Drosophila melanogaster: one gene and its partners. The protein of the gene in region 2 purifies or fractionates together with the protein of the main gene of each other region. This does not show direct contact. Each region holds a gene or a part of one and is shown on either strand. Other genes may lie near its edges. The genes, in order: UQCR-14, ox, UQCR-11 and UQCR-Q.

Region 1 (8,298 bases), on a different chromosome or scaffold from region 2:
CCACGATATTTACAAGCAAGTGTGGAGTTTTAGGAATTATGATGGAATGGAATGTTGAAAGCAATTATATCTCAACTCTCAACTCACCTATTGCATTCGTTGCGCCAGGCAAAGTTGGTGTTATTACAGCTGTTGCATTTCCAGTCACCATCACGGGGCTGCACGTTGCCACCGCCGCCGCCACCACCACCGCCTCCTCCGCGATCGTAGCGTCCGCCGCCACCGCCTCCTCCGCGATCGAAGCGACCTCCACCGCCGCCGCCACCTCCTCCGCCGCCACCACCACCGCGACGTCCGCCAAATCCTCCGCGACCACCACCACCGCCGCCGCCGCCTCCGCCCTTGTTCCAGTTGTTCTGGCGCTGGGCCAGCGACACCTTGATCGCATTGCCGTTGAAGTCGCGTCCATCGAACCATTCAATGGCGGATTGTGCAGCATTGGTGTCGTCGTAGGTGACAGTGGCCTCTCCCTTGGAGGCGCCGGTCTCCTTGTTCTTGTACAGCCAAATCTTGGGCTTCATTGTACGCTTGTCTTTCTGTTGTTAGATCAGTTGCAAAGGAATAGAAAGATACAAAGGTTAAAACGTAGCTACAGATACATAAAATACATTACTACTTGCCTTGATGATGCCAATTGCTCCAAAGTGTGTCTCAATGTCCTGCTCGGTGGTCGAGGGATCCATGCCGGAGACAAAGATGGTGTCCTCCTGGGTGATCATGTCGTTGCCACCGGACCCACCGCCGCCGCCTCCTCCACCACCACCGCCGCCGCCCGAGTATCCTCCGTGTCCTACAAAAGCGAATGGGAAATAAGGACGAGCTGGCACGGCAGGGTATAGCTTAGAATGCAACTGCTACTTTATTTAATTAATATTTGGTTTTTTCATTTTCTTTTTTTTGTTTTGTTTTTTTCTTAGAACTTCTCGCCTCACTGCAACCACCAAAAAATGCAACGAAGGTGAGGACCAAAGTAGACGGCTGTTCCGTGACATTTTAACCAGGACACTTAGATGTGAAACCAGAATTTTGAGGTGTATTTCAAAAAACCTTTAGTGGGTGGACGACCGTGGGAGAGACGACATGGGGACACTTTGAACGGGTTTCGGTCGGCTTTTGAGCTATCAAAGCCAGACTGACTGGTACACAAGAACACAAACAGGTGACCCCAAATTGCCAGGAGTTAGCCCGACCGACCAACCCTTGATTTGATTCGTGACAACGCTTTGACACATGTATACAACACTTTACAGAAATTAAATACTAAATACCCGTGGGCTGACCGAGTCGGTCGTTAACCATTATATATTGATCAAACAGAGATCAACGATTTGGAAAAGTACGCTAAATACACTTTATAGGTAACGATGCGTGGACTTTTCGACGAAATTTCAAATGGGCAAGGCCCCACAATGAAAAGAATGCCGCCAGGAAAGGAGGATGTTTGTTTAATATGCATATTCAATTATTTACTCTTTTGGTTTGGAATTAGACTCTGTTTTTATGTTCTAATCGGTTTGGGTTTTCTTTTTTGTGTTTAAAATTTTGTTGTTCTACTTCGATTTTAGATTCAAGTTCAATATGTAGAAAAATATTGGTATACATTACTCGATATGTTTGCAATTGTTTGCATTATTTTTACCTTTGTTGTAGCTGTCCTTGCTGGCGCCTCCATTTCTAAAAGAGGATATTGAATAACTTATTTAATGCTTTGATTTTGGTTTTAATGCAGTATGGTGAGGTATACGCCTAGGATCCCTTGTTAGAATACGTATTGCTTTGTTCGATCTTATGGCATCTAATACCATCTATAGAGCACCCGGCACAGTTCGGTCAGTGACGACGACGTTCAAACAGCGAATGTCCGTTTTGTTGCTTTCCATCACAAAATTAGAGCCAAGTGCGGCGGCAGTCACTGATCAAACTGCCAAGGAGGACAACGTACATACTGTTTGCCATACATACACCTAACTCTTATACACATAATCTTAACGTTTGCATTAGTCTACTATTGGAAAAGCATTTGTTTACCAAATTCACAGAAATGAGAGGGAAGGAAGGAGTTCGACCCAGTTAAATACACTTATGTATGTAGTAGGTATATCGCAGCAAAATACCATCGTTATTAAACACACAACACTACCTACATACCTACATTCTTGCTTAACTACTATAAAACAAGCTTAAATGATAAATAATTCAAAAGTTTAGTAGTTTAGTAGTTGTTAAAATCACAAACAAAAAAAATACCTTAAAAACGGTCAATGAGATTGAAACTATATAAAACAAATTGCTTAAAACTATCTTACATTTAGATTGTTAGAGGTAAGCTCTCTCTTAGGCGCAAAATCATTGCTTTCTTATGTGTATAAACATATGTAATAACCTTAATAGCTAATAATTAAAATTTGTTATTATTTTTGTATACGTAAATACCTTAAGATGATTAGAGTCTCAGAACCATACCAATTCCTCCGAACTGTGCATTAATAATATATCGAATTTTTTTATTGTTTATTGTTTTTGTCTCGAGCCACAATTTATTTAATTTTATGATTGCTGGTTGATATTTTTTATATTCTTTTTAGCTTTATATCTTCGATTACACTTGTGTCATGTTTGATCTGGTTTTCATAACCATCCTGTTGGGAACACACACATTTTTTGAATGTTCATTTTGGAACATGTTTATGCTAGCATTGTATCGTATTAAGGCAGGAATGGATGATATAGTGTATGGTTTAAAACGATAATAATAACATGTGCGCGATTCTCTATGCAATTATCACAAATTCATCATAGATTTCATTAGGCGACCATTATTATTCCGATTGCAACGACTGTGGTATTACTTATTATTACTTATTCAGTATAACCAGTATTATTTATGCATTGCAGATATTTGTTTCCCCAGGGCATCATCTGTTTTTTTTTTTACCATTATACTCATTTGACTCGTCAAAACCATTTTGAAATACCATTTTCTAATATTTTTACACAGATTTTCGATGAAAAAAAAACAAACGTACATGAAATACAGTCATGCGGATAAATAATAATTTGCCAAATTGGGAGATACGTTTTTTTTTGTTGTTATAATTTTATGTTTTCTGCGTTTTTAAGCAGTCGGAACAAGTCGTAGTTGCAGGAATAGCTTCAAGCAGTTTCACACTCTGATGCAGCACAGTGCATCTCTTGCATTTCAATAATATCTTTAAAATACGCTTCATGTTTCAAGGAGTGGCTCGGTGTCTTTTCTCATTGGTTTGGCTGGATTGATTTGTAAATATTTATATATGCGTACACTTCTCTTATAACACTTAAAAAACCTCCGTGAAAGACTACTACCCATGATCTAAATAGCCTCGCTGTAACTCAACAGCAGCGAAATACTAAAAGTGGATAACATACCCGTAGGAATTGCCTCCTCTGTCGTTCCATGATCCGCCGCCGCCGCCACCGTTGCCGCTGCCACCAGAACCACGATGACCGGAACCGGAATCATAACCTTAAAAACATAAGTTTGTGAGTATTGGTGTGTTGCTCGCAACACAAAGTTCGCATGCACGCCTTACCACCGCCTTGTTTGCCGTAGTTCGGAGGTGGCTCGTTGTAGTTACCCGTTTTATTTGGCATTTGCTGGTAATTTGGTGGGGGGACAGCGAAATTATTATATCCCTGTCCCGAACCACCACCATAACCGCCACCTAGAGTGCACATATTTCATCGTTTTCAATTCACGTTGCGACTTATGCGCGTGTTAAAATTATACTTACGTTCCATGTTTAATAAACGTTGCGTGAAGTCTTTTTTTAATCAATAGAATTGCAGGAGTTTCAATAACTCGCTGCGTACAAATTGCTCGAATTGAAGAAAGCGTCAGATCGTCACAAATTCTATTGTAAAATGGCGTGTGAAAATTAATTAGGGATGTGCGTCGAAGGGGGCTGGTATGTGTGGGTCTTGTAGCGCCTATCGAAATATCTATCTATATATCATTGAAATGTGTGGGAATGGAACACAAATATGCCGAATATTATATTTGTGGGAAAATACGTATTAAATGGTAAAAATAGTTTTATTTAATACATTTTATCATTTATTTGCATCCAAATGGACTGAATCCAAGAGGTTTTAAATAATTAATCGGCAGCTTGATCGCTTTACAACACTAAAGCGCTTGCATCCCTGCAAACATTGTTTACAGTCGTTAGCACGTAACTTTGAATGAAAGTCGAAATCAGCTGTTTGTGCTTTGAAATTGAATTGGTGTTTACGTGGATTTAATTTTTTCTGAAATCAAATTAAAGCAGAGCCAAATACAAAATGATTGAAATATCAGATTTGCAGAGTAAGTAGCCATTAATATGCGAAAGCCATCAGCGCAACTAAACCGCCTATTGAAATCTTCCCGCAGAAATTGGCATCGGCTTGGCTGGTTTTGGCATTTTCTTTTTGTTTCTCGGCATGCTGCTGCTGTTCGATAAAGGACTGCTCGCCATTGGCAATGTACGTTACCCACATGCACATGCACCATATGCCCCATATAGCACACCCTTCGAGCTCTATAATAATAGCAATCGCCTCTTTCCCGCAGATTCTATTCATATCGGGCCTGGCCTGCGTCATTGGCGTGGAGCGCACGATGCGCTTTTTCTTCCAACGGCACAAAGTCAAAGGCACAACGGCCTTCTTAGGGGGAATCGTCATCGTCCTGCTGGGATTCCCCATCTTCGGCATGATTATTGAATCCTATGGATTTTTCGCACTCTTCAGGTTCGTAGCACCCTGGCCAAGTCCCAGTCGGATTCGTTTAAGACCATTTGAGCGGGGCTAACCGGTTACGCACTCCACATGGTCTTTTCGCTTTCCCGCTCTTAATACACCATTCGCAAGTCAGGGCTTGGCAGTCAAAGTTGCTGTCAGATGACATCCTTTAGAAATATTTTATATTTTAATTGAAAGACTGCAAGTCATGTAGATGGGACAATTTGACGCTGTGGCATTAACAGCAAATACCAAGTATAATTCTTCAGATTCGCTTACAAAAAAAGCTCGATCAGATTTTATAGCATTTGATCAGAGCTAAAGAAAGCAAAAAGTATGTCCTTCATTATAACTATTCGCTGTTTCTGTCTGTTTTGTTCTGTTCTGTCCTTTTATACATTTTTTCCTATCTATACCTCTCTCCTTTTACCTTTTCAATTGCATGCTTCTTCATAAGTTACGACCAAAGGTGCAACTTAATAATTACCCTAATATATGTAGGTCTTTTTATTCATTAAAATATCTTTTAACGAACGTTAAAAGGTCTGCTTCATATATATCGGATTAATGAATGGAAATCTATTCAAAGTAGGGAAAATATTCAGTGAATATAAGAATTTAACTTAACTTCGAAACGTGCAAGATGGCAATACAAGTGGAAGTAACTTCTTTTAGTGATTTGTCGTTTACTTATTACTTATTAATGTCCTTCTCTTTATATTTTCAGCGGCTTCTTCCCCGTGGCCATTAATTTCCTAGGCCGAGTGCCTGTTTTAGGATCGCTGTTTAATTTACCATTTATACAAAAGGTAAGGTAGCATGGAGCCTCACAAAAAATAAAAAATATAACATAGCAAATAGCCCATACTCATGATCACTTAACGCGCTCATCTCGCCTTGACGCGAAAGCCCATTGAAATAAACTGAAGGGTCCACATTCCCAAACGACCACGCAGACTCGATTTCATAGCCAATTTTGGTATTTATCTAAGCTATGTATTTCAACATTTACAAGTCCAAAGTAGAGGGATTTAGTGGCGCGTTTAGTGGATCTTTTCCCAGTCCTCACGCTCCTCGCGCTCCTTCACGACCTCCTTGAGGTAGGGTTCCAGATACTTGACGTCCTCCTCGTACTTGGTCCACTGCTCCTTGGGCAGAATGGTCTTGGTCATGGACAGATGGAGGGCCCTCATGATGCGGTAGTTACGCTCATCGTACAGCTTCCTGGGCAATCGGCGCACGGCCTCCTTCACATCCTCGTTCTCATACAGACAATCATCGCGATGCAGACCTGCAAAAATCGATGGCATCAAGCTCAGCTGTTAGGAATCACTAGGTTATATAGTAGTCCTACCGTATTGGTTGAATCCGGAGAGATTGTAGGCCCATCTGCCCAGATTTGCTGTGGGGAAAAATTCGCATTACATATTTACGTAATCATAATATTCCGGCGTACTGCACTACGAAATTTGTTGCATGCAACGTGAGTCCGATTGTTGCCCGTTCGTATTACTTACAGAGAACTGCGGGTCCCTTTCTGGCAATATAGTTCGACATGGTTTACGTAAAATCAGAAGTCGGGAAAGAGATATTCCTCCAGCCTTTTTATTTTAGGTATGAGAACGTTGGAGATGGGTCTCTCGATAGCTATCGCACCCCGTTATCGATCAACGAGCACTACGGTTGCGTTTGTACAAATCGATTTCCGAAATGTAATACAGACACACTGCACCTATCGATATATCGCACTCAAGAAAATTCGTTATTCTTTAGTTTTAGAGCTATTAAATATATTATCTTTTAACATTTTACCCTTTTGTATTTGTATTTAGATTGTTCAAAAACTTGGTGGAGACGGCAACCGAACTACAGTATAATTACATCTCCAAAGTTGGTCATTTTGCAATAACTTTTTGTATAAAGTAAATAAAATCAATTCAAATTCTTGTAAACCCATTTAAGCCCATGTAAAAATCCGCCTTCATAAACAAAATACTTGTAGTTTATCAAACCGAATGATTGTGGCTTTCTCCTTTTGTAATTTGTTATGGGAAACACTCAAAAAAGGTTTTTAATTTGGGTTAAGTTATAATTTATGTTAACCAATAACCTCGATTAAATTAATTATAAAAATGATGCCTGAAGATATACAACTTTCACTTAACTTGCAACACGGGTATTGTATATTAAACAGCAAACAAAAAAGGCAAAAATGTTGGTAATTAGCGGAGTGCTTCGACAAGCGGAAATCCCTACTTCTCATTTAAATAATATTTCCCCAATTTTTTGCGATAAGCCCCCGCCAACGGTAAACCCTTCATTAAAATGATTGATAGCGTTTTTATTTTAAAGTACATACCTTCGCTTTATTATGACTACAAAATATCAATTTATACAAATTAAAGAACATATACAAATTCTTTATATATACAGTGCCCTCCCTTAAGAGTGAACACTCGAATATGTGAACTTTTTAGTAAAAGTGAACGATTAATTTATGAAATTTTAGAAACTTTCGCTTAACTTAGTAAAAAAATTAAATTTTTTCAAACGTGGTGTTTTTGAAAAATATATTAAATTGTTTATTTTTTCTGTGATTCGTTATAGTGAACAAATTCGATTCAGTGCACACCCTTGGTTCTCAATAGTCCACTGTTTCGAGTGAGCACTGTACATACACTAAGGCTGGCACGAACACGACACTAATTTAAGTTTGTTTCGGTTTTTGTTTCTGATTTCTGAACACACGTTATATATATACATATGTATAACATTGAGACCCGTTCCAGCCTTAGTTTATACATATATCACTGGGCACATAATGTAGTAACTCCCAATGCGCTGAGTGGCCGGGAGAGAGAAATCACTTATTGTTCTTAGCTGCAGTCAATGACAAAAACTCCACCTTTCGAGCCAAGTACTCATTATAACGAAGAAATGCATAGCTAAATGGGGCGAATAAAAAATTGGTCATTAGTATCGATTGGTTGTAAGGGTCGTAATTGGGGGAAAAAAGGAATTGCAGGGTGCACAATAATATAATAAATCCATTATAATGGCCGTCTAATGGTTGTTGATGGATCTTATCAAACAAAACTGATATATATACTGATGATATATATCTATATATCTAAAGGATTTATCATCTAATTGCATCGTGCATTCCCAACTCAAAGTTACAGTCCATATACTATGCAACACGCACCCTACGTAGTCGAAATCGATAGTGGAATGCTCGGCTTGCAACAGGGACCACACCGTCCAAAAGATATGCGATGCCAGCGCAAACTGATTGACCTGGACATAGAGCAGTTCGACTTCGTCGTTTTGAATGTTGCTGCGCTGTAGGTACTCCTCAAGGTAGACCCTCAGCCACTGGAGCTGGAACTCGCGCTTCGGATAGCGCGAATAGTCGACCTCATCCACGCCGCACATCTCCGCAAAGTGGTTGCCAATGTCGAAGGCCTGGAAATTGTAATCGGCATACTCGTAGTCGATGAAGTTCACCGTATTCAGGCTCTGCGTATAGATCAC
Region 2 (5,305 bases):
GGCGCATGTCTGAAGGGGGCGTTATTGTGGTGGGGAGCGGCGAAAGTTCCAAGGCCAATAGAATCTACAGAAACTAGAAATTTGAGGATAAACCAATCTGAAACAGCTGTTTTTTGCCATTTACATCCAACTGATGTTTGGACATTTTACAGCACCAATAAATCGTTTACCCACACTCAGTTCTGGCAGTCTGGTAACACTAAAGGCAGCTCAAAATATTTTATCGTGGTTTTGTAATTTCCACATAAATATCAATTAAACGCGCGCTTTTTTCGGGTTTCCATCGCAAAAATGTCTCGCAGTGCTCGCCCCCTCACCTCCGCCCGTGTACTGCACAAAATCAAGGAATTAACAACCCCGCAAGCCAGCACTGAATACGTGATCAACCGGAATCCACGGAACTTGGAAAGATTACGCATTGCCTACAAGCCGGTAGGCTATCATCTGGAGAAACCAGGTCGTTCCTACTGGCACACTTTGGAAATCAACACCAGCGGCCGCTATGTCAGCGGCGATGTCAAGCACTTTGAGAATGGAACCATCCTGAGTGCCAGCACCTCGGAATGGGCCATTAAACAGCAGTTGTACAAGACCAACGACACATCTGCGTTTGTAAATCTCGGCAGAGTGCTCGCACAGCGCTGCCTGCAGTCTGGGATCACGGAAATGACCTGCAACGTGGAGGCGGTACCGGGTAGCAAGCTGCAGAAGCTGCTTCAAACCATTCAGGATAATGGGGTGTCCTTCAAGGAACCCTCTCGCCTGCCCAACGAGCAGCCCTGGGATGAGAAGAGGCATGAGAAGCCCTGGGAGGTGTCGGAAGACGCACTGGAAGCACCCAAATCAAAATAACCAAAAGAAACCACACTTAGTTATCGTTTCGTTTAGAATAAACGTTGATTATTATTGCTAATTACAACAAATCATGTTAATTTATTCGTATTTGCCCTTGATGTCCTTCCAGAGTTTCTGCAAAGCGGGGAAATCTTGAGATTTGGCCAGGAAACTTTGCTTACATAACAGGATTATACTTACGCCTTTGTTGATGCCCTCGAAAATCGCAACCGACGTGACATCGAGAGCGCGCTCGAAGAAAAAGGCCGACGCGATGATGGCCACGGCGTAGGTGGAGGTGCGCTTGAACAGGGTGTTGTAGATAACCTTCATGTTGGCTAGATTTTTGTTAAAGACGTCCGATTTGTTCCCAATCAAACTTTTTCCACACGCCAAACTCACAGCTGATTTGTTAGGTTGAGTTGACAAGCAGTGTTGGAAACGTCCTGAATCTAAATACTAGTGTCACTCCGCCTATCGAAATTACGCATTAGTGCTTATTCTTGAAAAGTGTTTTTAATTGAGGTCGAAGGTGTTTTTTGTTGTCTTTGAAGCGGTCACACTGGTCGATGGGGCAAAAACAAACGATTTGTGAATATGCCAAATTACCAGGATATTTAGCGTAATTGGGCCTTATCTGCGTGGACCATGGACATAGGCACTATTGAGCTGAGCGTGGAGGCGCTGATAGGATCCCTGCTGGCCCTCAGTATCCTCTTTGCCTTCTGCCGCAGCCTGCTTTCCGAGGACTTTGTGAGCACCTTCAAAACACGTCACAGCTGGAAATCAATAAAAGTGTTGGAACAGGTGAGCGGATTCACTTGCCGCGAAAGAGATACCATAGGATACATGCCCTTCATTCTAGGCCTGCTTCTGCAATGTGTGCGAGATCCTGCTAACCCCCTCCGCAGGACTCTTTTGCGACTGCTGCGGCCTGTGCACCCATGCCACGCCCCCTTGCCAGCGGAGGGCGGACAGGGAGTACCGGTGCAAGGACAAGTGGTTGCGCAACGAGTCCTCCGTGCGGCACTTGTGGGTGCATGGCAATCTGCCTATGGGAGTGCATTGTGCCGACTGCAACGAGGAGGTGGATCACCATGTCAGCACCGATCCAGGATTATACGGATGGCGATGTGCATGGTGTCAGCGGTGCTATCATAACGATTGCTACACTCGCGCTGACTCCATGGAAGCCTGCGACTTGGGCGAGTTCAAGGACATGATCTTCCCGCCATACAGCTTTGTGGCCGCCCGAACCAGAGACTCGATGCGGCTCCACTTGGCCAGCATTACGCCGCCAGACATTGAGAACTGGGAGCCGCTTATTGTGATCGCCAACACCAAGTCGGGCAGCAGTACGGGTGCCAATGTGTTGTCCCTGCTCCGCGGTTACCTGCATCCGCTGCAGGTGATGGAACTGGGCTCGAGGGGTCCGCAGGACGCCCTGCAGTGGGCCGCCAAAGCCAGTCCTCGCCCGTGTCGCATACTGGTGGCGGGCGGCGATGGCACCATCGGTTGGGTGCTCAATACAATCTATACGCTGAATATCAAGCCCCAGCCCTCGGTGGCCATCATGCCGCTGGGCACCGGCAACGATTTGTCGCGAGTTCTGGGCTGGGGAGCAGAGCCGCCCTCTGTTCTCGACCCGGTGAAGATCCTTAGGAGCATACGGCGAGCACGTTCCGTGAATCTCGACCGCTTTGACCTGCAAATAGAGAAACTGCACTATCGACTGCCTATTCAGAGGCATCCCACGAAGACGATTCATGTGTACAACTATTTCAGTGTAGGTGTGGATGCGTACATCACTTACAACTTCCACAAGACGCGCGAATCTCGATTCTATCTGCTCAGCAGTCGAATATTCAATAAGGTAGGCTACAATCTAGTGTGCTTACTTAACGTTAACTAATGTATCCATCTCGTCAGCTGCTGTACTTTACCTTCGGAACGCAACAGGTGATGCAACCTGGCTGCGAACACATCGAGGAAAAGCTGACCTTGTATCTGGACAACAAGCCAGTGCAACTGCCTGAGCTGCAGGCGCTGGTGTTCCTAAATATCGACTCATGGGGAGCTGGCTGCAAGCTCTGCGAGCTAAGCAACGCCAATGGTGAAGTGCGCATTGTAAACTCCATCTCCGATGGTATGATGGAGGTGTTCGGCATTGTTTCCTCTTTCCACATTGCCCAACTGCAGTGCAATATAAGCAAACCAGTGCGAATTGGCCAAGCCAAGCAAATAAGGGTAAGCCCTGCAGTGATGGAACCGAATATTTGTTAACCAACAATCTTTTTTTTAGCTACAAGTCAAGGAGACCGTGCCAATGCAGGCGGATGGCGAACCCTGGATGCAGAGTCCAGCGGATATTCGCCTCTCCTCGCGTAGTCAGGCCCGCGTCCTCAAGCTGGCTGCAACCTGAACATTAATAGCTAATACAGAATAGAATCCCTTATGTGCCAGTCCCTAATCTCAAAGTACTTAACCTGGAACCTCAATGTATACTTAATCGAATTCGGTTAGCAAGGCAAGTAAAGACACCCACACCACCTAGTGGAAAACCGAAACTAGTCGAAAAATACACGCAATCGTATTTGATTTGAAATAAATCCATTTTTATTAAGACGCAATCTTTTGAAATATAATTAAATGTTCGACTGGTGTAACATGCTGCCCCTTGAGGGGCATGCACAACATTTGGGTCAGTATTATCGAAAGGCGGGTAAACAACAAAATCAGGAGTGCAGCTAACGCTGAAGCCCGCTCTAAAGCATAGTAAGCTCCATGATGGCGTTGACGATGTCATTGTTGTTGTTCTTCAGAGCCTTGATCGCCTTGGCCCTCGTCGTGTTGGCCTGCGTGATGACCAGCTCGATATCCTTCTCATCCACGCCGGTGTCATCGACATCCTCCTCGTCTTCCTCGGCAATGGGGGCCACCGATGTGGTGGCGCCCACGCTGTCTGCAGCGCCAGCAGCCTCCGGGGCCTTGAACTTCTCGGCGGCAGCCACCTGGGCCTGTTGCGACAGATCCTCGATCTTGGCCTCACCGAACACGATGTAGGTGTCGCTGTGGGGGTTCTTGTACACATCTGGGTTGTTGATCACGAACAGGATGTTCTTCGACTTCCTGATCGTCACCCGGTTGACGCCCTGGATCTGCTTAAGTCCCAGCTTCAGCATGATCTTCCTGGCCTTTTTCTCGCCGCGCGATTGCTTGGCCTTTGAGACGAGGTCGATGGGCAGACCGGTGGCACCTCCACCCAGCTGTGTGGTGGCCGCTACAGCCTCCTCCAGACCAGGCATGCCACCATCGGAGTCGCTATCACTGCCATCATCCTCAACGCGGACGTCCTCGGGTTTCGCCTCAGCGGAGGTGGAGGGCGCAGCCTCGCTCTTGATTTCGGTCAGTTCGGGCATTTTAATCTGTGGGGAAGCAAGTGGAGAACACGAGGTTAGGTAATTGCTTTGCAAATAGTATCAATTATGCTAAGGGAAAACATCTGGTGCCGGTTCAAAGGCTCAGCGATGTGTCTCAGCGGGGGTCAGTTGGTATTGATTTTTCAAGTTCAATTGGAAAATCAATAATTCGCTACCCCCGTAGATCTAACTCTTAACTATGATATTTTACATAATTTAAGGCGCTAATTCACTGATATTTCGGCAAAAGTTAAATTGAAGTCGAAAAATGCGGAGTACACACACCTACCGGAAACGAAGAAAAGAAATATGGCGGAGGGGAGTGTGACTGTCGCTTAGCACGATTTTTCTTAAATCCAAGCGATATATTCTGTCAGTGTGAACGTATGCGTATGAAGTATGACAAATTCAAACTTTGTGGCTACTCTATTTCATAATTACGTTACTTTCAAAAAAATGACAGTTTCAAAATACATTTTTAATCTTTCACCTCTATAGTAAAGCACTATGACTAAAAATTTATAATTTAATTTGACTATCAAGGCTTGCTGAAATAATCGAACTATAAACAATTATGGGAGTAGCTTAAAAAGCAATAATATCCCAAGAAACTAGTTCTTTTTCGTAATTATTCAAAGCAAGTGTTAAATATTTTTTCAAAGGTGTAGTTCACTGTTTGGGTCACCTTTGCTTGCAATCTTCTACTAACGTAATATTTTAGTTTTTGATAATGCAGTTATAATTTTACATAAAAGAAAAACATTAAAAACAAATTGATAACACCGCAACATTTTAAGTGGCTTACTCAAAGGGAAGGAAAGGAACATCACAGATTAGGCTCAGTGGCATGATTAATTTCTGCAGTGACTAGCAATAACTGCACTGCTTAAATAGTAAAATTAAACGAATGAATGGTTTCACAATCGAATGTTTGACGGCTTTTCTTCCCCACCCAGTCTGTCACTTGAAGATGACGATCTTCAGTTTGCCAGTGCATTCTACAAACGCTTCTCGAAGTGCTCCTTCACGTGCAGACGCCTGGAGGAGTATTT
Region 3 (8,303 bases), on a different chromosome or scaffold from region 2:
GTTTTCTTGTGAGGGGATTTGAATGGGTGGTCAGTTTTACTAGGTATTTTAATTTTCTTCTCAGTTATTATTTCGATAAATAATTTGATTTTTTTCTCTCTGTGTATGTCTTCGTTCCGAAGGTATCACGCTCTAGTCAGAATTCTCAGAATTGTTGGCTGTTCTCGCTGAATGGATGCCCCACAGGTCGGAGCCATAAGTCCAGATTGGTTTTAAGACGGAGTTGTATAGGAGAGCTTTGAACTCCACGCTAAGTGGAGAGCGAGCATGAGCCAGTGAAGGTTCCTTGCATCTTATTGCGACTTCAGTAGCTTATGTATGTTTTGGAACAATAGCTTGGCTAGTTTAAGCAAAAGTCCATCCAGAAACACTGTCAAATGCCTGCGCGACGTCTAGTAAAATGGCTGTGTAATATTCTCGATGCTCAAAAGCAGTACGAATTTCTGACGTGATTCGATTGGCCTGTTCGATGGTTCCATGTTTTTTCCATGACGAGGGCTTATTCCCAGGAGTAGCATTTTTTCAAATAAATTTTAGAGATAAGTTAGTTACTGTATCGGTCTATATGATGATGGCTGCGTTTTATCTTTTCCTGGCATTGGAATCATTACTATGGTAGATTTTTTCCATTTTTGAGGGAAGTATCCATGCTTGGCGATTGCGTTGAACAACAAGCACATGTGCAGAACATCACACTGGGAGTTCAATAAGGATTTTTTGAGTTATTAGGTCGAAGCCAAAATCGCTTCAGTTGCTTTTTGATAACCTTTGCTAATTCACATAATCTAAGTTTGCTTCTGCTAAAGGAGGGAGAATAATGACTTTATAGCAGGATTTGGTAGAAATAAAATTTGTAAGTGGTCAGCAACTGCTCTGGCTCTTTTCTCATCACTGTCTTTTCTCTACAAAAGGTTCTTAGTGCTGGTGGGCATACGTCACTTTGCACCCGAAACTAGAATATTTTCAACAGTGTCCGTTGACTTGTCTATATTTTCCTTAGCAGATAATGCCGGCGTTAGTTCTATGTGTGATCTGGGTCTGGGATTTTTCTTGGGTCTGCTGGTCAGTATGTATTGGATAGCGTGGTGGGCAGTAGACTGCGGCTAGAGTCATTGAACCATTGTTGAGTAGTTAGACTATGGACGTAGATTGAGGTGGTTTTTATGCGATTTCTGATTAGTATGCCAGTGCCTCCAAGAGCTTTACCATCTGAATGATTTGTGAGGTGCGTTTCTGATAGTAGCATTACTCCAGTGTTTTTTTCGGTAATGAACTGTGTGAGTTCTTGTGTATGAAGTGAATAGATATCCGTAGGGAAGCCAGCATGGGGATTTTGAAGATACAAGAAGTTGTATCAGGAAATTTTGCACGTTTTGATCGTTATGAAATATTTCATGCTTTTCTGTAGGGATAGCATCATAGCTTCAATGCCACTTTGTTCAGTTTGTTGCATATTTGTCAATTTATGTTCGGAATGAGCAGTTCTAGTCGGTGAGGCGGGGACTTCTAGTCCGGATTTTAAGGCGCTAGCGAAGAAAATTCCAAGAGTAGTGCTTGGGACAGTTAAGGGTGGTTGAAACATCGAATGCGGAGAGCAGAAATTGACTTTGTTGTATGTATTTGCTATACGTTAAACCACACAGCAGTATGCCTTGGTGTGGCCGTATTCTTGGCAATCGCCTTCTGCTTTTGTTTTGGTTCTTTTTTTACGTCCATTATTGTTGTTGCCAATGGTCGGTGTTGCAGAATTATTTACAGCTGGCACAGCGATTAGTTGGGCCGCTAACGAAGTTGTTGTTGTGGTAGCAGTGACAGTTTCTAGGGAGGTCACTGCACTTGTTATTGCAGTGTTACAGTTACCCGGAATGTTCGATTGTGGCTGTGTGGGGAGCGGTGTAGGAGAGGCGGTCTTTTCGCTCCGCGAGAGCAAAAGCTTGTTTTTCGAGTTAGTTGAAGGTAAGGGTGCTCGATCATCGAATTGCCCCGAAACGAAAGCAATGTATGCATGGTTGCGTTGTAAAGAGAGACGGCGCTCAACTTATGAAGGCATTATTGGCAGCTTGTGTTACCGCAATTGGCGATTCTAGTTTTAAGGCAGATGGTTCGTCAGTAAATAACTACTCGACTGACATTACTGCTGCCATTGCTTGCAATGTCGTTGAAAGTCAGTCGTGCCTAAACATTGACATTTTCAGCTGAAACATATTCCTAAATCTGACGCTCGCGGACCCAAAGTGTCATCGTTTTCTACCCATAGACTTAATGATTGGCGCTAGTCTCTTCTACGAACTGCTGTGCGTCGGTCAAGTCAATACCACATGCAATTCTAGTGTCTTTGGTCGCACCTACACCTTTGACTTGGAGTTCTGCTGTTTCCTCTGCAAATAAGTCGCTCTCCAATTATTCATCATATTCTTTAGTAATTTATGCATAAACAATACACGACAGCGCCACTCGGTCGGTTGGGCGGGAGGTGTGGCCGTGGGACCCGTGCAATTGATAAAAAAATAAATTATCGTTCGAGATCGCTGCATAGAAATCGTCTTTTCTTTGCAAATAGCTAATAGAAGAGCTTATTAGTTAAACAGTATTAGTTTTGTAAATTTCTAACGGTATTCCTAAAAACTTTTTGCCACGCCCACAAACCGCCAAAAACTGCCTCGCCCACACTTTTTAAAAATGTTTTTATATTATTTCGTATTAATATTAGTCTTTTATCGATTTTGCAAAAAAAAAAGTTTTGCCATGCCCACTCTAGCGTGAACAAACCGCCCAAAACCGACCTTACCATTGAAAAATGTTTGATTCTTCTTCGTTTTATTGTTTGTCTTCCGGCATTTTAATCGGCATACCAAAGACACTTTGGTCACGCAAACACAAACAAAACGCCCAAAACACACTTTTGAACCATTTTAGGTTTTCCTCATTTTTTAAAATTATTCTAGTGTCTTTGTTTACTCATGCGTCTCTAATGTCTCGAATAAACTTTGCAAAGAAGCATCGAATCTATTTTCTGTGCTTAGAAAAGGGACATATGGCGCGGTTCTGTAGGATTGATGGAATTTAGTTTACTGTGGGCTTACAATCCTTAACTGGTCTGCTATGGAAGAATTACGAGGTGAGGCTGACAGGCAGCTATAATATGAGGGTCATCAACATTGACAGCATACAGAGAAATTGAAAATGGCTATGTCAAGATGATACGTACAGTGACAGTGACAGTGTCTGCCACACTTCGGTGTCGAAAATCCAAATGAACCTACCAAAATACGTATAATCTACGTAATCTATAATGACGCAGCCAAGTCCCGGGATTAGGAGCTGCTTCAAGGTTTCTTGCAGTACACGTTCCTGTCGGAAGTGTGTGTACTTCAGGGAAGCAGCAGTCGGGGTCTAAAGATGGCCCAGGAATTGTCGACAGTCGCACTGAGGAATTTTATAAGCTGCCGTGGACCGGTGGCCAGATTGAGGAGTCAAAACGGAGAAGATGTAGAACGAACTGTCATCAAATTAAATGGAATGAAAATTTCAATGCCGGGCAGGAGGCGTATGCGAGCGGATGGTCCACGGGTTGAAGAAGGTACTCGCGCATACTAATAAAAAAATTAAGGTTAGTTTCAAATATTTTAGGTCTTTTTATTCTGCTTTTTACCACACTATGGTTCCTATTCAAATACAAATTACAACAACTATTCAATACAAATTTTATTTGTGTGTGTAATTTTATAGAGAACACGCATAGTTGTATATATCAATAAAGAAGTTTTCGCATCAGTTTTATGAAAACTTTCTATCACTTAAGCATATATTTATTTGATTGCTTTTAATTAGTTATTGTTTAAAAACTAGAGCAAAAAGAACCAAAAAGACAGAGAAGACAACTCTGGCCCACAACGAATTAGTAATTATTAATTTTCAGTAGATATTTTATCCACTTTTTTTATCAGCTTTTAGCTGATTGAATTTCGTTTTAAAAACACCACGTCATTTTTAAATGTTTGCCTCCAAAAACATGTATCAAGGGAATCAGGAAAAAATTATGAAAAGTTTTAAATAAAAGTTTATAGCCTAAAAAAAATTATCTGACCCCCGTCACGGCGGACAACTGGCCAAAAATTATTTTAATTGCTTTGATTGTACCTTGTGTGAACAGATTTTAACATCTAGGTAAAATTGCAAACGGTTCATAAAGATGTATTCTATTGGGGCTAGGCTATAAGCTTAGCTAATTGATATATATGCATAAAATAATCTGTTTTTGTTGGTCTGGCCCTCATAATTCAGGCATACATAAAATACATTGTGATTGCATCATAGCGGTCTTAAAGGTTATAGTTATTTTTCAAAAATGTAATTTACGTTCATATTCATAAAATTTGGTACTATATATGTTTTTGAATTCTGACTAGTTTATTCTCTTTTTAGCATTAATAATGGCTTTTAGGAACTGGTTTTCGCTTCCCGCCGTCAGAGCTGATGACGAAGAGGACTTAGTTGACCCTCAAGCAGTTTTAAGGGTAAAAAAGATTTCTTTACATCATTTAATATAACACTAAACTGATTTTTATGCAACAGGAAAAATGTCAAGCTAAAGGTCACATAGAATCCTTGTACAATAAGTACCAAGAGTGCAATGATCGTGTTAATGGGCGATCCAAAACAACTGAGACTTGCATCGAAGAATTATTTGACTATGTTGCTGAGTTAGATCATTGCGTTTCGCACAGTCTTTTTACAAAGCTTAAGTAAATACCATTAAAGTCAATTCCATTAAAGGGAAGGGCAGTGCTTAAAAATAAGAACATAAATAAACAAATCTCTTTATCGAGTTTTATACGTGTTTTGTGCCTTTTGGTGATCAGAACCTTTTAGAAGCGAAATTGGGTAGGTAATACTACACTAGTGGGCATAAGTATTTGCACGCCTTTGTTTTAATACTAAACCAAGGGTATTCTATTAAGTTGAGGGCTGGAATTTGAGGTGGCCAATCCAATGTTTTTATGCAAACATTTTTCAGAAACAGTAATCAGTTTGGTCTTATAACAGGGAGCATTATCATGCTGGAGTATGAAGGACTCTCCAATCAATTCATCATCATTATTATTAAGGACATCTAAATATTTTATTTGATTCATGTGTCCATCAACAGGAACCAAATCTCCCAAGACAGTGAAGGCTACGCATCCCCAAAACATAACAGACCCTACTGACTATTCTTTGACATTCTGGTGCCAGTTTTTTTCGATATTCCGATATCGAATTTTCGAAATTTAAAAGGTGGAACCATTTGCCCATGTTTTCCATTGCCAGCGCTTATGCAATGCATTTGCGCTGCAAATGTGTCTGTACGTATGTATATATTTATAATACATTGAAGTATTTGTATTGAGTAAAGTAATATGAGTTTACTGAGTGGGCTTCTTTTTTATTTTAGTTTATTTTTATTGATATTGTTTTCATTAAGTGATGCCATCAACTATGAATAAAAAAGTTTTAACGTGTAATTATGAACTACTTGTTTTTTGTTTAGTTACTTAATTTCATAACAAAACTATCTCCCACTGCTATTTTTATTTTGTTATGTGTAAGTCATTATTTTCATTATTCTTTCATTTATACTCTTCATGCATAGTTCTAGTTTTCTTATATGGTACTTCCAATCTTCATTTACTTTCCTTCTTTCCTATATGATAAATCGGCTGCTCTGCCAAAAACTATATGGAAACTATAGAACGGGTTGTATAAAACAATGTACGAAATTCTGAAGCCACAGGTCCCAATCAGTTTTATCAACTGATATGTATTCAACTGATAAGTTTTCAGATGGTGGTGAGCGGTAAATGTTAAATTTTTAATTTTAAAATTTTTGCAAAAATCGTTGATTATTGAGTGCTTATACTCTGTACCCATGAACGTTTTCAATGGACCGTAAGTCAGGATAAAGGATTCGAAAATTGAATTAGCGACTTGCGATCTTATATAGTATTGGTATTGCAACTAAATATTTAGTTAAGTTACAAATAAAGGTGACTGAAGACTCATTACCATTATCCGACTTTGGTAGAGGAGGACCTATATTACCCACTATTACTTTGTCGAAAGCATAGGGGGTTTCTGTTATTGGGGTTTTCCGTATGCTTAGTTATTTTATTTTTTTGCATTTTAGACATTTCTTGTTGTAGGTTCTGATTTCTTTAGACATACCTTCTAAGCCTTTGAAATGTCATATCTTGCAGTAATTGTTTTTCCTTGTTTAAAAAAACAACATTTTATTTACTATCACGTTTTCTATCGATTGCATATGCAAGGATGTTTTGTGCGTTCCTCCTGCGCAATATTTTTGACTACTTTGTAATCGTGAAGTGACTTTCATTATATTACCAGTAATGTCTTTTAATTCTTTGGTGGTTATTCTTTGTAGCGCATCAGCAAAATAATTTTCTTTTCCTCTGAGATCAACTGTAAAACTATATTCCCCCAATTCAAGTCTTATACGAGTCAACTTTGAAAACAAATTGGTGAGTGATCTACGATCTGCTTTGACTGTAAAATGTTTACCGTAAATATAGGGTCTAAAGTGGGTTATTGGTCAATGTATTGCTTTTAACTCCTGTTCCAATCTGCTTGTATTGCTTTCACCCTTTTTTACAAAGAGCCTATTGGCCAAACAACCAGCGCGACAGGCAGGTTGGAAAAGTTTGCAGTCATACGACGAACCAAAATTCGGGGGCGGTTAAAAAAAACCCCATTTTGTTAGAACTCCAATGTTTGTTAGAACTCAAAGTGGTTTCTTTAAACAAAAGCCACACAAAAGTGCAGGTAATGGGCAAAGCCAACTGGCGCTAGAGCCAATGGAAGTTGACCCCTCCTCCCGGTCCAAACAAACTACAAGATGGTAATGAGGGCGGTCAGCACGGTCTCAGCAAAGAAGATAATGACTTCGTTGCCCAAGCAAGCGCCATAGAAGTAGAGGACGAACTGGATGCAGAGGATCGTGAAATTTTTTAGGGTAAAGTTCCCTAACATTACACGTAGGGTGGCTGGAGGAGAAATAAAACTATTACTCGATACGGGCACCTCAAAAAATTATATTACTCCTCTCCCGGGACAGAAAAACCCTTTACTGTATAGTAAATCCATGGCCAAAATTAATTAAAAATGTCTTGTTTCGGTGTTTAACGTAAAAACACCCTTTTTTATTCTGAACAATTCTAATTCTAAACAATTCTAAACAATTAAATGCAAAACTTGATTTTACCAGAAATGTTCTAAATACTAGTAACGGAACTGAAAAGATCCAGTTTACTAGGGCAGAAAACGTTAGCTTCATTGAAATCGATGATGAAGACGTATTAAAAACTCCTTCGATAAAATGATTGTTAAAAATCACAAAGCCTTCGCTGACCCAGACGGGGCATTACCATTCAATATAAATACTATCGCCACAAATAAAACAGATGGGGAGCCAGTATATTCAAAATCATAGCCGCATCCCATTGGTGTGACTAAATTCATCAATGCAGAGGTTAAACAACTTCTAGCGGACTGTTTAGTAAGGTCATCTAAAATAACTTTACAACCCGACCTGGGTTGTAGACAAAAAGGGAACAGATCAAAACGGGGTAAAAAAGTAACGGCTAGTTATCAATTTTAGAAAACTAAATCAGAGAACAGTCGACGATAAATACCCTATCCCAACCATTTTAAATTTTATTACGACACTTGATCTTAAGTCATGCTTTCACCACATAAAGCTGGCAGAAAAGGACAGAGAAAAGACGGCATTTTCAATAAACAACGGCAAATACGAATTTTGTAGATTACCATTTGGGCTTAAAAATGCCCCAAGCAAAGGGTCATTGACGATGTCTTAAGAGATGGAATTTCAAAGATATGCTACGTGCACGTCGATGACTTCATAATTTTCTCCAAAACAAAGGAAGACCACGTTAAGGACGTGGATTAAGTTTTAAGAAAACTCCTGGAGGCAGGCATGCGAGTATCCCAGGAGAAGTCAATGTTCTTTAAAAAGAGCGTTAAATACTTGGTGTTCATAGTGTCACAATCGGTTCTACGAAATTCACCTGAAAGGGTCGAAGCCATAAAATAATTCCCCATACCTAAAACGCTTTTCGAACTCAGATCATTTCTGGAATTAGCAGGCTACTATAGGTGTCTTATAAAGGACTTTGCGACAATCGCAAGGCTTTTAACGAATATCCTAAAGGGAGAAAACTTAAAGCAAATCTTGAGGGAATATTTTTTCCCTAAGATGCTACGGTTAGAAACAGAACAACTTTGAA
Region 4 (8,397 bases), on a different chromosome or scaffold from region 2:
ACTTAAGCAACATTTCGTATTCGAAATCCATAATTAATTTGTTGACCTGCAACACAGTGCGTATGTGTTATATTCATTTAGAACATTGCGCATACGTCATGTTGAGTCATAGAATAAATGATTGCTTAAATTAAAGGAATAATTACAACATCTTAGAAAGAATTTAGTAACTCGAAATGATTATGATATGACTCACTTGTAACTAATATCCAATGCTCTTAGGAACCAGCACCATGTTGTCGTTCATCACGCTTTCCTCATCGCAGAGCAAGAACCTGCCCAAGGTGAGCTACATAAAGGTGTCGGAGGTGTGGTTCCTGGGCTGCACCTTCTTCATCTTCGGCAGCCTGGTGGAGTTTGCCTTTGTCAACACCATTTGGCGCCGCAAGGAGAACATTGAGCTGAAGAAGGTCAACAGCAAGTACATCATAAAATCCACATTGACACCACGACCGGCCCGCCGTCAAATTGGCGGAAGTTTGAGCAACGAGTCCAGGGCTAGATCGTGTTCCAGTTTGGACAACATTGTTTCCAGCACGGAGAGCGTGCGCAATGGCAATGGCACTGTGAATCAGGGCTTCAACAACTATTTGACAGTGCATGTAAGTACTCCAGATCGATGTCTTTCATGAGCTTTCTGTATTTTAACATTTCTCATGTCCTTAGCCCAATTTACCCATCATAAGAACGGAGTGCGCCGAGGCAGATACAGTGTCTATCTGCAGTGCGCGTACGAACAACGATCATATCGTGGATGTGGACAAGGATAAAAAGGACACGCCGCCCACCTTTACCACCATGACACCGCAGGAGATCGCCATGTGGATAGACCGGCGGTCGCGATTTCTTTTTCCGGCCATGTTCCTCGCCTTCAACGCTCTGTATTGGACCTTCGTCTATGTTTTGTAAGCGGATGTAGGCAGATGCCGCCGTTTATGTGAAATCTTGTCTATTTGCGTAGTCCTGATCGCGCAAATAATTGTTAAAGTGTAAGATGCATCATCTCATAGCTGTATAAATGTTAATCATTAATAAAGGTATAAACTATATCTCAACATTCGTATAAAAGGCTAATAATGGCAGGAAAAGTATTCTTGCTTGACAACTCATTTTAATCTAATGCATTTTGAATACAATAAAATTATTTATATGATATTTTACATATATTGAGATGAATGTGCCATCTTTAGTGGGCAAGTTTGAATACTTTGTATGCCTAATCACAGAAAATGAAGTTAAAAAGATAAGTAGCCCTCGATTTTACAATTCCATGTGTCTATTCTGTCTATTAATTTGAATAAATATAATCTTTTCGTTCACGAAATTTAAGTTTTTAAGCCGCTCACATATTTTATTACGGCAAAGGTAAGCAATTATGTTTTACATTATTTTATTGTTATATTTTAATAAGAATCCACTAATAGTTTAAAGATCCGCTATCCACACAAATTAGGTTCAAGTCCACGCTGAAAGTCTACAAAGTTACACATTCTGGTGGTGGCCTGCACTTAGCTTCTGTCCAAGACATCAATCTTAAAAAGCGGCACTTTTAGGACATTTTTCAAAAATAAAGCCTAACTGCTTGGTATGTTCAAGCGGCCCGTCCACGGTCACACTGGTTGAGACGAGTCGAGAGGAAATTGCAGCGTAAAAGTCGAATTTCAAGGTAAAAATTTGGCATCATAATCGGTACAATGGCAGGTGCTGGCTCTAAAAATATGCACAATTATGGGCTGCCAAAAGTGCAGAGATCGCGCCCAGTGTTAGACGTACTCGGCCGCCTTCATCCGCGGAGCAGTGCGAAAATTACATAACCTCCGGGTGCAGCAAATATAGGAGCACCACCTAGGCCATAATGTTTATAATAACGATCTGTGTCTTCATACAAATCCTGGTGCACTTCCTCTGCGGTTGCTAATCAAAGCTTTCCCCATCCGCAGCCCCACAACCATGCGTCTATCCTCGATCCTGAATGGCCAGCATTTTGGCAACTTGGCCAAGGTGCACGGCATCGTCACCTACAAGCTGTCGCCCTTCGAGCAGCGCGCCTTCGCTGGAGCGATCAGCAAGGGACTGCCCAACATGGTGCGTCGCTTCCGCTCCAACGTCTTCATCGTTACTCCCCGTAAGTAAATCGCTCAGGATTCCCGTCGAATCGTATTCTAATACCCAATTTTTCAGCCTTCATCGTGGGATACCTGATCTACGATCTGACCGAACGCAAGCACACCGCCCTGCTGCGCAAGAACCCCGCTGACTACGCGAACGACGAATAAGCGTCCCAACTAGCAGATAGTTATGTTAAACTAATTAATAAAACTAAACCCACAGTTCAAGAGAGTTGTGTGTTTCGGTTGCTGGAAGGCTAAACACCAAAGGCTTTGTACTCATACGTTACACATGGGATAATTTTATGTTCTATTTTATCAGTTTTATTGCTCTGTTTGCTAAACAATTCTAGAGAGAATTTGTTTTTCTGGATGAGCAGCTGCATCAGCTGTTCCCCAGTCTTGGTTTGAGTCCAAGCTATCTCGCCCTGCAATGTCTCAAAATAAAATAACAAAAAATTCATATGATGAGAATTTCAAAGAAAAAACACGACATGGAGGCAATATATTACGTTTTAATAATAAAATAAAAATTTTACTTGTTTTTAATATTCGGTAACGGTCTTAGCATTGATAGTCACCCGCTAGAGTTGCAGAGAATCAATCATCGAAAGTCACCCGAAACAATCGATGAGTGAGAAAAGTAAATAGCCCCACCTCTAGCCACCGCACAGCTGTTTGCAAGCAAAATATTGGCGTTCTAATTGGTTATTGATCCGATATTAGTGCATTAATGGACTGCTGCGGTAACGAAGTGCGCAGCGAAAGTATCCACAACATGCTACAGGCCCTGGTGGACTCAAAGGTGGTCAACGTGCAGCTTTTGTCGATTGCCGTGGGCATTTTCTTCGTGGTCATGCTGCTGAAAAACAATTTTCGCAGCTTTTCTGTCACGTAGATGGATCCAGTTTAGTGTTTAATATATCTCATAATGTAATGTACGCTAAGGATTAATAATAACTACCACAAGCCACCTTGCATCTTGTTTCAGTTCTATGGTTTTTGGAGCACTCCTCGAGGCAGTGACGTCACGTACATTATATGTGTAATATTTTGGGTGCTAGAACGTACTCGTGCTTTTTTCGGTCTCAGGGTCATCGTGTTATTTCGTAGGTGTTTGCACAACAACACGCCCAACCCCAAAAATATAATTGTTTTCGAAGGCCGGGTGAACTGGTTTGACTGCCCCCGAGACTTCCACGGATCGTGCAAAAAAAAAGAAGAAAAAAATAGAGCCCAGAATTTGTTAATTTCATCATCAGGCGACTGTGATTCTTGGCAAGCTGTCTTGCGATAAGATAGGTTATTCGAATACTCGAAGTAAGTCCTACTTGGAACAGGCATTCTCATCCAAAAACTGTTGAACTTTTGCCCCAATTGCCGGAGTAGAAGCCATATCCAATCACACTCAATTGCTATCCACAAACGATTCCAATTGACCGGCGATTGATTGCCCAATGTCTGCACGCACTTCCTGGTGCAGCATTAGAATTCAATAGACGCCCGACTTCAGCTGGCTCCATTCTGCAATCCCGTACTGACTCATTGCCCGGCACTTTCAGAATTTATGCAATACTGCGGTACGTGCTCTTATGCTAAAATATTGCATTAGAACACCCAGCGAACGTGACTTGATTGCAGGGCTAGAAATAGCAGCACTACCTTTAAGCCCTCGGATAAGCCACTGAGACAAGTCTACCTATTCTTCTGATTAGTGTTGCTTATACGAACATGAAGGATCCCATAAATATTCTTAAACATCAACTGATAGTCCTGCAACTGTCTAATCCTTCATATAGCCTGAAAATCTACCTAACTTCACAGCTTACTAATATAAACAAAAAAGTTACATCTTTAGTAGTTTATTATTAGTTTATAATAATCAGAGAACATATGCATTTCTTAGAAATTTCCGTGAATAAATGACCATTATTACAAGCACAACTTACGCATTAAACAATAATAATTGATTGATTAATACATATTCATATGTATTAATTACATCATCGGATCATTCAAACTTTCCCAACAAATGCAGTTAAGCTATTGCTTACCACACAAAATAAATCAAAATAAAGCCATCCATTAAGCCGGATCATTAACCCGATTCCATACTGCTGAATGGATAATCCAGCAGCTTGTCAATGAACTTGTAAATCGGGAGTTCCAGGAACTCCGACGCCCGTCGAAAACGAAGTGCTGACTGAAGTTCCGTTTGGTTAGTTTAATCATTTACTGTTCATAAGAGATCTATATATGTATGTACATAACAATTTTTACAGAGATATTCGGTTACAGAAGAAATTTTGTAAAAAGCTTATCTAAAAACCATAAATTTGAATATCCATCAGATAATGGGTACGAAATCAGATCATCCCTCGACAGTTGACTGTTGCTGGTTACTTAACTTATTTTTCAGCGCAGAGGAGAGGCAGTCCAAGTTATGGGATCGAATTTTTGAAGACCTGGGATTCGCCTCAAAACTTGGTGGCTTATCAGAGCCCGCCGAGCTGGAATCTTCCTTATCGCCTTCGCCAAATTTCCGTTTCTTGCGATGCTTTATTTGATCACTCGGCTTGGGCATTGGTAGCTGTTCGGAAGGGATCGATCTGACATCAGCTTTATCGTCATGGTTGTTGTGAATCTTCTGATGGCGCGTTTTTTTAACTTTCTTCTTCTGGAGACTTGCCATGATACTTATCATTTCCTCCTGCTGGGCTTCGTACCTGGAGATGATGGCGTTCCGGCGCTCCAGCTTGGCGGTGAGGAAACCGACTTGGTTCTTGAGGCTGTCCACTTCCCCAGCCTGCTCGGCAATGGTCTTCATCTCGCGGCGCACCCGCTTCATCTCCTTTTCCACCAGTTCGGCATTCTGCCGGACTTCGGTCATACGTTGCTGGTACTTGTTACGTGTGAGATTGATCTGCTCCTCCAGGAAGGCAATGTACTTCTCCTGCTTAGCCACGTGCTCGTCAAGTTTCTCCAGCTGCTGGCTCAACACTGAACACTGCTCGGCTCCACCGCACTCCCGCTCATTCCGATTCGATTGAGCTGCGGCTAGTTCGCTCTGTAGAAGCTGGATCTCCTGTTCCATACGCGCCTGCAGAACCACCTGCTCCTGCCGATACTTACGATGTTGGTTGTGCTTGGAGCGCAGCGAGGACACCTCGCTCCGCAGGAGAACCACCTCGTTCTCCAATCGGGCTTTGGCTCGATCGTGGTATGGCATCGCGCTGGACGAATGAAATTTTGGTAGTCCAAAACACACGGCTTGTCTATTGGAAAATTGCTTCAAGATTGGGGTGTCTATTGGGATTTTGAAGGCATTCAGTGGGGAATCCGAGATCTGACATTTAAAAACTTAAATAAAACGTTGTTATGCAAGCATGCTCCGGTAATTGAAATTTTTTTTGATTACGCAATTCAATGGCAACCTTCGATATTTGTTCCCCTGTAAATAAGATCTGATTTGATATAAAAAAAAGGCATTTACTTTTTATTTCGACCAGATAAAAGTGCCCGTTTTACAAATCGAAAAATTCGAACGAAACGAAAACCGAAAAATCTGTGCTTTCGATTTAAGATCGATATCGTAAATTACGATAAATTCTCGATGATTCCAGTTTTTAAGCGATTACATTCCACGTGGCATTTGCTTAAAAACCTAATTTCAGGTAAATATCAACGTTATTTATAAATATAAGTCCATTCAAAGACCACTAATTAATAGGCTAGCCTAACTAACCATCAGTCTTGAACATTTGGCTTAAATATTCTGGATAAAATGGAATTCAATTACCTTGCTGATTCCGCACTTTCCACTTTAGTGGAAAACAAAAAGTTCTTCAAGGAAATGTCAGATTTCGTGTCCGATTTCAGCGATGGCGGGAAGATCAAGAAGTTGCTCGAGCAGAGCGTTGAGCAGAGCGTGGAGCACGCCGTGAATGTAGTCCATATGAAGATAAAGCACCAATCGCTCAACAAGGCTATGAATCAGGTCAAAAACTCTAGCGCCACCATCGAGGAGTTCGAGGAAGTCTGGAAGGAACGCTCCAAAGCGGTGGAGCAGAAGCGCATCAATGTCAAGAATCTACACGAGTTCAAGAACTTCGTAAAAGCAGTTGAATCAGCAGCTGGTCAGGCGGGTGCGGAAGTCAATGATCAAGCGAATGGCACCGCCTATGATGAGGACCTTATTATGGAAGACTCCGGCAGCGAGGTCTTCTCGTTCTACGATCCCTGGTCCAAGGCCCTGATAAAGAACCCCATGCGCAACAAAATGTGCGGTCACATCTACGACCGCGACTCGGTGATGCCGATCATAATGGACCGCATTGGCATCCGATGCCCGGTGCTCGGCTGCGCCAACTTGTGCTACATCCAGCCAGATCACCTGGTCCAGGACGCCAATGTCCAGCAAAAGATACAACAGAGCATGTCTAACGCGATCGTGGATGTAACTGCCTCGGAGGAGGACGAGGAATAGAACAGATAATGATTGTGCCCAACTCCGTCCTTGTTGAGAATTAACTTAGTAAAATAAAATAAATTCATTGTTGCCATTATTTTATTTTATAATAACTTGTACTTCTATTAATACACATATATGCTAATTTAAGCTGACCACAAAACCCAGTGAAACCACAATGTACACACAAGAATACGATTCACAACATATTCCTGTACCTACTTGTGTTTTCATTGGACTTCTTGGTCGAATGCGAAATTTTCTTGGAGTGAAGATACTGGATCAGCAATTGGTTGGCCGAAGATTGCGGCTTCACTTGGATGTCGCTCCTTTGCAGCTTCTCCACGGCACCGAGCATGTCCTGGCAGTGGTGGCCAATCCGCTTGGCCCGATCCCTTTCGACACTGGCCAGCACCTTTTGCAGATGCGACTCCAGCATGATGGCATTGTTCTTGATGGTGGACACCTGGCGCTCATAGTGCGCCTTTATTCTTTTCATCTCCCGCTGCTGCTTCTCGATGCGACGGGCCTGCATAAGGATTATGTCCGCCAGGTTTTGGCGATCGGTGTGATGCTGCTCTGCCTTACAATCCTGCTGCACCAGGACACCAAATTCTTCCTCGGAGATCGGACTTCCTATGCGCTTCAGGCTGGAACTCGTATTCCGACCGACAGTTTGTAGAGACTGCAATGGTTTCCTAGATGGCCTGGAGGACATCTTCTGAGTCTTTTGCCGCGTATCTAAAGTTCTTCGGGAATATGGCCTTTCATTCGGCAAACCAGGCAATCCATCGTTGCAAATCCTCACGCCCTTGGTCATTTTAAACAATAATTTAGCCACTCGTGAATTCGTTCTGACTCTTAATTTTATTCGAATTAGTTCAAATTTTGTCGATTAAGTGAGGGCAAACGTTGTTTCACCTCTAAAAATATTTAATGGTTAATTGAACTCTTAAGGCAATTCTGCGTAATAAATAAGCAACTGAACTGTTTACTTTTTTATGATATAAATGTTCGATTATGAATCATGCAACACTCAAATCTCTGCAAATATCCTCAAATTGGCGGAAAGTGAAAAAGTCGATCACTTTTACCCTTTTTTTTGTAACGATACTGACCAACTAATCTCAGTTATTTGAAAGTACTATAAAAACCACAAGCAAAATGACTGCAATTTGATAAACTCAGGTTCAAGGTGGGCTCATTTTTGGCAAGATCTGGTCAGAGTTTTCATGATTGTATGGGTTGAACCAGAGTTGAAAGTGCCACGCCCATCACTTGAGGCGACCAACCACACGCAAATAACCATATATGTATGTACATACATGTATGCATATGAATATTTAAGTAGGTACAACAAATTTGCACTTCTTGTATACTTATCTTAATATCTCTTAAGTAAATTTGGAAATAAGGAAAAATGTTTGAAGTTTCATACATTGCTGTCTTGGTTAGAGTATTCCAAAACCATTGATTTATGTTTTCTCTGCCTTTTGGTAAGCATAATTTGTATATTTTTGGCCGCGATGCCGCACACTTGATAAGGGTTATCGATATGCCCATGGATATATGCATGCATTATGTGCGACTGATCATTATTTGTTTTCTTCCCATAGCCTGTGCATCGCATTCGCAAGTTGTAAATTATTTGGCAGCAGGAAGCGGATTTCGTTTGGTTTTCGGGGTGTGGAAGATGGATGGATGGTGCTGGCCGGCGAAAAAAAAGACATTCTTAATATCCTGAATACTCATAAATTCAAAGTACCCCCTTGAGCCATAATTCAAGCAACTTCCTCGAATAATTCGATTCACAGTCCTTCA

Evidence for each region.
Region 1: the proteins of ox (region 2) and UQCR-14 fractionate together in Drosophila melanogaster (co-fractionation; one study listed by BioGRID). This does not show direct contact.
Region 3: the proteins of ox (region 2) and UQCR-11 fractionate together in Drosophila melanogaster (co-fractionation; one study listed by BioGRID). This does not show direct contact.
Region 4: the proteins of ox (region 2) and UQCR-Q fractionate together in Drosophila melanogaster (co-fractionation; one study listed by BioGRID). This does not show direct contact.

The regions. Positions count from the first base shown.
Region 1 is NC_004354.4:16,284,433-16,292,730, reverse strand, and holds UQCR-14 (Ubiquinol-cytochrome c reductase 14 kDa subunit), read right to left. Parts: upstream 6,444-8,298; 5' UTR 6,322-6,443; coding exon 6,282-6,321; exon of another isoform or gene 6,167-6,281; coding exon 6,119-6,166; exon of another isoform or gene 6,056-6,118; coding exon 5,808-6,055; 3' UTR 5,743-5,807; downstream 1-5,742. Other genes in the region: caz (cabeza), read right to left, coding at 88-536, 621-790, 1,640-1,674, 3,409-3,505, 3,573-3,704, 3,774-3,780; CG32576 (uncharacterized protein), read left to right, coding at 4,324-4,348, 4,415-4,506, 4,595-4,773, 5,492-5,573, 6,597-6,641; eas (easily shocked), read right to left, coding at 7,628-7,709, 7,970-8,298.
Region 2 is NT_033778.4:12,756,263-12,761,567, forward strand, and holds ox (oxen), read right to left. Parts: upstream 1,268-5,305; 5' UTR 1,168-1,267; coding exon 1,036-1,167; intron 970-1,035; coding exon 934-969; 3' UTR 871-933; downstream 1-870. Other genes in the region: mRpL18 (mitochondrial ribosomal protein L18), read left to right, coding at 292-852; Dgkepsilon (diacyl glycerol kinase epsilon), read left to right, coding at 1,483-1,641, 1,700-2,707, 2,764-3,081, 3,137-3,256; Nacalpha (nascent polypeptide associated complex protein alpha subunit), read right to left, coding at 3,600-4,253. UniProt on the Drosophila melanogaster protein: Component of the ubiquinol-cytochrome c oxidoreductase, a multisubunit transmembrane complex that is part of the mitochondrial electron transport chain which drives oxidative phosphorylation.
Region 3 is NT_037436.4:25,116,469-25,124,771, forward strand, and holds UQCR-11 (Ubiquinol-cytochrome c reductase 11 kDa subunit), read left to right. Parts: upstream 1-4,280; 5' UTR 4,281-4,350; intron 4,351-4,409; 5' UTR 4,410-4,433; coding exon 4,434-4,517; intron 4,518-4,575; coding exon 4,576-4,749; 3' UTR 4,750-4,903; downstream 4,904-8,303.
Region 4 is NT_037436.4:17,473,470-17,481,866, forward strand, and holds UQCR-Q (Ubiquinol-cytochrome c reductase ubiquinone-binding protein), read left to right. Parts: upstream 1-1,579; 5' UTR 1,580-1,666; intron 1,667-1,750; exon of another isoform or gene 1,751-1,855; coding exon of another isoform or gene 1,856-1,918; exon of another isoform or gene 1,919-1,940; 5' UTR 1,941-1,950; coding exon 1,951-2,125; intron 2,126-2,181; coding exon 2,182-2,276; 3' UTR 2,277-2,655; downstream 2,656-8,397. Other genes in the region: SecCl (secretory chloride channel), read left to right, coding at 223-602, 667-909; CG46525 (uncharacterized protein), read left to right, coding at 1,856-1,918; CG34250 (uncharacterized protein), read left to right, coding at 2,842-3,002, 3,100-3,157; CG13733 (uncharacterized protein), read right to left, coding at 4,480-5,337; qjt (quijote), read left to right, coding at 5,893-6,594; CG6333 (uncharacterized protein), read right to left, coding at 6,776-7,396.